Linked DNA regions of Nothobranchius furzeri. The protein of the gene in region 1 purifies or fractionates together with the protein of each later gene. This does not show direct contact. Links are inferred from orthologs where the notes say so. Each region holds a gene or a part of one and is shown in the gene's direction. Other genes may lie near its edges.

Region 1 (3,819 bases):
CAAATGAATAATTCTATAACTTCCCTGCCTTTTAGATCATTTATTATTAACTGATGTGGTCACATCGATAAACATTGACTCGCTGCCTTCTAGCTCGCCAAAAGATTGAAAGCGGAGTGTGTGCACAGTAAAAGCTGTGGAACGAACAGTTGACTTGTATCTTTAGTTATTATTCTATTTTCTTTAACTTTCTCATAATTTGATTAAAACCATTTCTTTTGTTTAGCGTTTCATTAATCCTACGGTTGTAGTGTTTGTAAAAGTTCACATGCTTTATTTTCAGCTGCAGTTTTGTCTTTTATAACTTGAAATCCTAATTAAATTTTCTGTGTTATAAGCTGTCTGAGAAGCTCTGAGAGACTGCAAAAGCTGCTGTTATATTCTGAAATCATTTTTTAAAAATCCAGTCATTTTATTGTTTTTTTTTTTCACATTCAGAACAGGTAAAGCTGTAACTGACGCAGGATTTGTGTTTGAAAAACAACATTAAATGTTTGTTGTCTGTGTCTTCCAGTTCACACTGGTATGGTGAACACTTTGTCTTTCCATCCTGCTGGAAACTTCCTGATCACTGCGTCCAGCGACTCCACAATGAAGATACTGGACCTTGTGGAGGGCAAGCTATTGTATACACTTCATGGACATCAGGTACACACACACGCACGCACGCACACACACACACACACACCACAAAATCCAACAATATTCTATTTTTAAATCCTACTGTTTCGTTGACATGACCAGTAAAGGTGAAGTCTGCTCTGTTTTCCTGTGTGTGTGTGTGTGTTTGATGCCTTTTTTGTGTATTTGGTGTTATTTTAGTACTCGGCCGGCGAGCAGGCAGCCCACTCATGATGACTCATCTTAGGATTGTTGGAAGGAAACAGAACCATGTTTCTGCCCCCATTCCTTTGGTTCTTCTCTCTTCCTGCTCCTACTACCTCTAGTTTTGTCTTGCTGTTGTTCTCGGACCTCAGCCCAGCTCTCTTTCCAACTTCATCTGCATTTCCCTTCCTGCGTTTGATCCTTTCACCTCTCTTTGTTCCACATCTGATGAATTCATGTTGCTGGCTGGACTTGCTGTCCTGACGGCGCACTGACTGTGTCTGTTTGTTTGAACAGCTGATGGACTGGCTTGCTGGCTAGTTGTGGAAATCGGTGGCTTGCCAATACCACATGTGGTCCGTCTGTTTATCTATCCCCCTGCACATGTTGTCTGTCTTTCATTCTGTCTTTTGTCTCTGTCACCTGTATTTCTCTCCTGCTTGCTTGCCAAAAACCACCTCTTTGTCGAGCTGGGAGGGGGGGGGGGGGGACTTTTGTTTCCTCTTCTCTCTTCCCACCTGCAGATTTGTCTTTTTCTGCACTTTGTTTCAGTGCCTGTTGTTCTTTTTGGCTCTGTGGTGACACAACCAATCTGCTGGTGCTGGGACCACTCAGAGTGTTAATTGGCTCTCCTGTCGCCTAGCTAGAAAGAGGAGAGCCCCCCCATCTGTTCAGCATGGGCGTGTAGGACAATGTCTCCACACACGTGTTGTGCTGTGTATCCGTGTTGAGTCGTGTGCCTGTACTTGTATGAAAACACAAGTGATGATGGACCTGATAAATATGTTGTTTACTCAGCCTCAGGAGGACTTTAAAGAGCTGGGTTTGATATATGATGAGTAAAGTAAAAAAGAAATGGAGGTTTTAAGGCAAGGCTGTGTGGAGTACTTCTGTGTAGTTGGTGCCTTCAGTAGACGGCAGTCAGTGATTACACATTAAAGAACCTTGGACAAATTTTCATAGAGGACTCACCCCGGGAAGTCTTAGCCTCCCAGGCTGCTGCCTCTGTGACCGGACCCTGGATAAGCAGCCAAAAATGGATGGATGGACTCACCCCGGATTTCCACTGGACGCGTAAGCATCAAGTAACGTAATAGACGCACTTTCCGTGAGCTCAGTGCGTTCCTTCCCACAGGGAGCATTTCAGACATGAATCCAGAGTGAAAAGCATTCCATGCAGTCAGTTCTGCAGCATCATGAATCCCAGGAGAACTCTAAGAGCATGCCACACGCGTGATTTTGGCAGTTCACGTAAAAACAAGCGAGAAGAAAGAAAGCTGCATGTATCCACAAAGGTCTGTAGTTTATGCACTCGTGTTTGACTTCCTGTTTGCTCTGATCTGAACTGAACTTGACGCATTCTGGAAGTGTATTGCATAAAAAATACTGCGCTTCTGGGATGCTTCCATAGTACACCACTTTGCAGTCATTGAAAACATACACACATATCTTCTTTAATGGCGGCTAATTGCTGGCCTAATACTACTGGCCTAGAAATCTAGACAAACCGTAGCAGCTGAAAAAAGGGTTTTCTCTGAACATTGGTGTAGCCATGCTCGATAGGAGCGCTACAGTTCATCGTGTGTGTGTGTGTGTGTGTGTGTGTGTGTGTGTGGGGGGGGGGGGTGTAGGCTCAGGAAGCCATTCATTAGCTGATTAGAGTGTAACACCTTTAGTCTAGAATATTGAACCTTTTCACAATGTTCTAATTGTCTGAGTTTGAATTTGGGGTTTTCATAAACTGTAAGCCAAAATGAGTATAACGAATAAAAGCTTGAAATTACTTGCTTTGCATGTAATCAGTCTATTTGATGTCATTTTATTAGTTTCCCCTTTTAAGATGGAATACTGAAATAAATGAACGTTTTTTCAAGTTTCACGTGCACGCTTCGCAGACGCTAGGCGTCACTTACCTGTCATCTAAATCTCAATTCAGATTACAGAATTTTTGTTGTGGGTTTTCTTCTTTTGCCCCTCCATCTTTGCATCAGATGGCATTTAGTTCATGGTTTGCAATGTGCTGTTGTTGCTGCAAACAAAACTATTAAGCAAATCCAAAGTATCCAGTTGATGCTAAATAAATTCTTGAATTAGCTTTTTGTTAATGGTTAGAAAATCTTCAAAGGTGGGGTACGACATGGGTTTTTTGAAGCATTTTGCCATACTTCTTGAAATGCTCTTCACATACCAATGGCAACCAATAAATTAAACGTTTTGTCAAAAAACTAATAGTTTATTCTCCTGTGAAGCATACGATCACAGACCGTGATGCCGTATGGGACCTGTCCACTTTCTGTGATTATTGTTCAGTCATCAGTAGGCAAAATAAGCTAGTTGTGTGTGTGTGTGTGTGTGTGTGTGTGTGTGTTCATAGCAAGTGCCAGCGCGCATTAGTCAGAACAGAGACAGAACATGCTGTCGGTCAGACTGTCGCGTTGCCATAGCGACACAGTCTGCTTCTCTCAGGTGCTTCTGGGAAACTGTCCTCACCCAAACCAACCTATCTGAGTTCCAGCCACAGGACACAGTTCTCCTTTTTACCTCTCAGCAGCTTATGTGGTCATTTCTTTTTCTTCTTTTACTTTTGAACAAAATTTGAAGTTTGTGAAGTAAAATAACAAATTTCTCGAGTTTTAACCATTTCTCAGTGCAGTCCTGTTTCCTGTAGGTCATCTTGATTTTGGCTCTTACCACAACTAACCCCACTCAACCTTTGTCTGTTCTTTTTGCTGAAAATTTTATCGATTGCTCAGCTTCAGCCTGACACACACATCCTCCACAATCTCCCACACACACACCCACACACTCGGGAGCTTTTGTTCTCATCATGCTTTTTTGTGTGTGTGTGTGTGTGGGGGGGGGGGTGATAATTCGGGACTCGCATTGACTTATGAAAGTATAAAAAATACAGATGACTTAGAATAAGGGTCCAAAAATAACCAGTTCTTGTGTTTTTAAGCTCACATATCTATAACCTACTCTTTTATATCTACA
Region 2 (4,288 bases), on another chromosome or scaffold:
TTGGTGGTTTAACCCCCAATCCAACCCCTTAATGCTGAGTGTCAAGCAGGGAGGCATTGGGTCTAATTTTTTCCAAAGTCTTTGGTATGACCCGACCAGGAATTGAACCCTGATCTCCCAGTCTCAGGGCGGACACTCTCCCACTAGGCCACTAAGAAAGGTCGGAGCTACGTTATTGCTCAACTTGGCTCCAGAGGGATAGAAACAAAGATCCAGGTTGGAAATCTGTGGTGTCATAATTGACCTCGGCTTTACTGGTCACATTAAGGCTATAACTAGATCAGCATTTTATCATCTTCACCATATAGCATGACTCAGAAGTCTCATGTTCAGGCCTAGACAAACTCATTCATGCGTTCCATCTCCAGCAGGCTGGACTACTGTAATGGTCTTGACTGGTCTTCCCAAAAAAGCTGCGAAATAACTGCTGTTTATTCAGAATGTTGCTGCTAGAGTCTTAACAAGATCCAAGAAAACCAAACACATCACTCCTGTTCTTAAATCTACACTGGAACAAAAACACAACAGAAATGCTCATTTTACTTTGTACTGCTCAAATACTGGAAGTCTGAGAGGCATGTAATGACATGCATACTATTGCACAATACAGGAGGCTGGAGCATAGTATTTTTGAAATAAGCTTACCCTCTCAGGCTCAAAATAAGTTTTGAACAACTTACTCCTTCAGGGGTACTTCTGAGTTAAAAATGCTCATCAAAAACTGGTGTGAAAAACTATTTGCCCCTTCCTGATTTCTTATTCTTTTGCCTTTTTGTCACACAAACTGTTTCTGATCATCAAACACATTTAACCATTAGTCAAAGATAACACAAGTAAACACAAAATGTAGTTTTGAAATGATGGTTTTTATTGTTTAGGGAGAGAACAAAATCCAAACCTGCATTGCCTTGTGTGAAACAGCACAGCATGTTAGAGGTTTTTAAAGATGGAGATTAAAATAATGCTATTCCAGCCATTACTTTCTGGTTAAATACATCACAAACCCCACGGTTAGGGCAGATTTTAAACAAACTAGATATTAATTGGATTTCGATTTCTTTTTTTCTTGGATGTTTTCCATATTTACCTATTTCTTTTACAGTTCATGTTTTTATGACCAATAACTGAAGTTGAAGTAGCTTTTTTTTCATGAGAATCTCAGTTTATTTTACAATCACGTGACTCTTCTCTAGAAAATTCTCACGCCTCTGTCCCGTTTTACCCAATGCTCTCATCTAATTGGACAGTTCTTTTGTCATCTACGATTTCTTCTTTCTATTGGTCAAGTAAACCGTGGGCGTGGCTTGCTTCCAGGAACTAAGTGTGACAACGAGTTTTCTCATTATTGAAGAGCTATCTTTTTTTTTAGTAGCGTGGCTAATAGTGAACGTTTCTACCAAGATCATTATGGGTGACGAGGAGGAAAAATATGACGGGATGCTGCTCGTCATGGCACAACAGCACGAAGGAGGAGTACAAGAGGTAAGTCAGCGTGATGCTACAGCTATTATGCTAGTATTTAAGCTAACATGTCTGTCACGCGGACGACGCAGTGCATTGTTCCTGTTGGAGGTTGATGCCTTCATAAACATTCTGATAGCCAAATGTCTTGTTGCTGCTGTTTTGTACAAGATGAGTGAAGACAGATTTTTGCAGAAAAATCTAAACACGTTTTATGCATGTTTGATTAATTGGCTTAAAAATACGTAGAGGTAAAGCTTTTTCACGTTGAAGGGCCTAGAAAACAATTAGAAGTGTAAAGTGCTTGAAAATGCCACATCAATTTTCAAGGTTTTATTAAGTCCTTGAAAGTGCTTGAAAATGACTGACATTGGTTTTAGCTTTATAATATTTACAATTATTAGACAAAGTACTGAAATAATCATTTAGTATTTTTTCATGTATAAATCAACAGTTCTGGGTAGTCTTTAAAACTCGCCTTGGGAGTGCTTGAATTGAATTTAGGCAAATATGTTATAATACTGATATTTCTTTGTTTTAATTAATAAATCCATAAGAAAAAACATTCTAGGGTTTTAGATTTATACAATATGCCAATATTTTAATATCTGCAGAGTGTGGACATATGTTATTCAGACCACTTTAGCCATGACAACATCTTACTTTTGCTCTGTAGAAAGTTAACGATTAATTTTCATGAGAAATTTGCTTCTCTCCCCCCCCCCCCCCCCCCCCCCCACCCCCCCAAAGTTAGTAAATACATTCTTCAGCTTTCTACGACGCAAAACTGACTTCTTTGTTGGTGGGGATGCAGGAGCTGCAGAGAAGGTGAATATTGATTGTTATTATTATTATTATTAGGCCTCTGGGATGATTTTGGCAGAAATAACCTCATTTATTCATTTGCTTCCGATTTTCAACTCTTATCCCTTCCAGCTGGTCAAGGATTCCTTTGATCACCACAGCAAGCTGGCTCTAAAGGCTCACAAAGAGAAGCAGACGAAACAGGAGAGGGAGAAGAAGGACAGAGCTGAAAGAGCGGCCAAACTTGCAGAAGAGGAGAGGAAACATGAAGATGGGCCACGAATTCAGGAGCTGACTGATGAAGAGGCAGAAAAGCTTCAGTCTGAGCTTGATAAGGTGGAACCTGGATGCTTTAATAGTTTGACACATTAGAACAGAATGACATATTTATTTGTTGAAAATAGAAAAAGGAGGAAGAGGAGAAGCGGAAGAATGTGACGGCAGTTGAAGAAAAGATGGCTGAGAAAGAGAAGGGGGTGAGTGGACAACTTTGAGGTGTTTATGAGCAGTAAAATGAACTTTTCCCGACTTGATCTGTCTTTTTTTTTATTTAGTCTGACTCTGACGGAGAGGAGGACGAGAAGGATAAGGATAAGCTGAAGCCTAATTCAGGAAACGGTGCTGACCTGCCAAACTACAAGTGGACACAAACTCTGTCCGACGTAGACGTGAGTTGTCTAGTTTGGGTTTTTGTTTGAATGTAGTAGGGCTGTAGCGAAGCCTCGACAACGTCGACGGCTCGATTCTAAAAATTCGTCGACGTCAGATCCGGAAGTCGACGCACCGCGCCCACTTGTTGCATCCCCAGGAGTTTGTAAATAGAGGAGGAATCTGCCTGTTTTTTCTGTAGTTCGCCCTCTTCTCCGCCTTCACTAACATCTCCGCCAAATACCGAAGACCCGGAACAACGTCCATCCGCTACTAGATTCCTTTCCTGTTTTGCCCGCCTTCGTCTCCCGGCAACGGACAACAACTTCCGGGGTCAGACGCGCTGCTTCGTGTCTATCGCAGATGTAGAAAATCACCGGGAGCGTTTCTCCCTTCATTAAGGAGCTTCTTTCAGACATGAGGAGAGCTGTTTTGGTGGTAGCAGTCTCTCCTCCGTGCTGGTCTGTTTGCTGCTGGGTGTTTTTGGTTTATTTAAACTTGGTAACTTGAACTTAATGTTGGTAAAGCTACTGTTAGCATCTTCGCTAACAGCTTCTTGCGTTGGGATAAGCGGTTACGTTTTGGTTTAGAGTTCATCTTTTTTGTGGTGTAGATCTCCCTTTTATTACATTTAGAGTGTTGTGGGTTTTCGGTTTAGTGTAAAATATCACCTTGAGTTTGGTTTAACCTGTAAGACCACTCGCCTCACGCACATAAGTGACCAAAACAAAGCAGCATGGAGACACTCCATCTTCTACCACCTCTCAGGCAGCAGCCTGCACTCCCAAGTTCTACACGTCACCAGAACATAACCAACCGCAACACAATAAACGCAGTGTTATACAAAATGGAAGGCCTGTAGTGTTTATTCTCTTACAGTAAGAATTTATCAATTTTTTTGAGGAATTTGAGATTTTCTGGTTTTTATTAACTGTGCAATAGAAAAATAATCATTAGATTAATTGTGTAAATAGTCATTAGAATAGTCGACTATTGGATAAAATAATCGTCAGAATAATCGTTTTAAAAATAATCGTTTACCCCCAGCCCTAGAATGTAAACACTTCTAGGTCTTCATTCATATCTCTACATTCATGCATACAGACCAAAGTGATCACATCTTGCAGCTTTTTATTTATTGCTTGACATTCGTTTTTGAATTTTGGAAATTCTCCAACAGCTGGTGGTGCCTTTTGATGTGAAGTTCCGCATCAAGGGAAGAGATGTGGTGGTGGACATCCAGCGGCGTTCCATCAAGGTGGGCCTGAAGGGTCACCCACCCGTTATCGACTGCCAGCTGTACAACGAAGTGAAGGTGGAGGAGAGCTCCTGGCTCCTAGATGATGGCAAGGTGGTTACCGTCCACCTGGAGAAA

Evidence for each region.
Region 2: the proteins of poc1a (region 1) and nudc purify together in Homo sapiens (co-immunoprecipitation; 3 studies listed by BioGRID and IntAct, with this or other methods). This does not show direct contact. The link is inferred for Nothobranchius furzeri from reciprocal best matches to the Homo sapiens genes POC1A and NUDC.

The regions. Positions count from the first base shown.
Region 1 is NC_091743.1:62,509,589-62,513,407, forward strand, and holds part of poc1a (POC1 centriolar protein homolog A), read left to right. Parts: intron 1-514; coding exon 515-648; intron 649-3,819.
Region 2 is NC_091759.1:16,935,672-16,939,959, forward strand, and holds the start of nudc (nuclear migration protein nudC), read left to right. Parts: upstream 1-1,274; 5' UTR 1,275-1,407; coding exon 1,408-1,482; intron 1,483-2,211; coding exon 2,212-2,289; intron 2,290-2,397; coding exon 2,398-2,601; intron 2,602-2,669; coding exon 2,670-2,741; intron 2,742-2,819; coding exon 2,820-2,933; intron 2,934-4,093; coding exon 4,094-4,288. UniProt on the Homo sapiens protein: Plays a role in neurogenesis and neuronal migration. Necessary for correct formation of mitotic spindles and chromosome separation during mitosis. Necessary for cytokinesis and cell proliferation.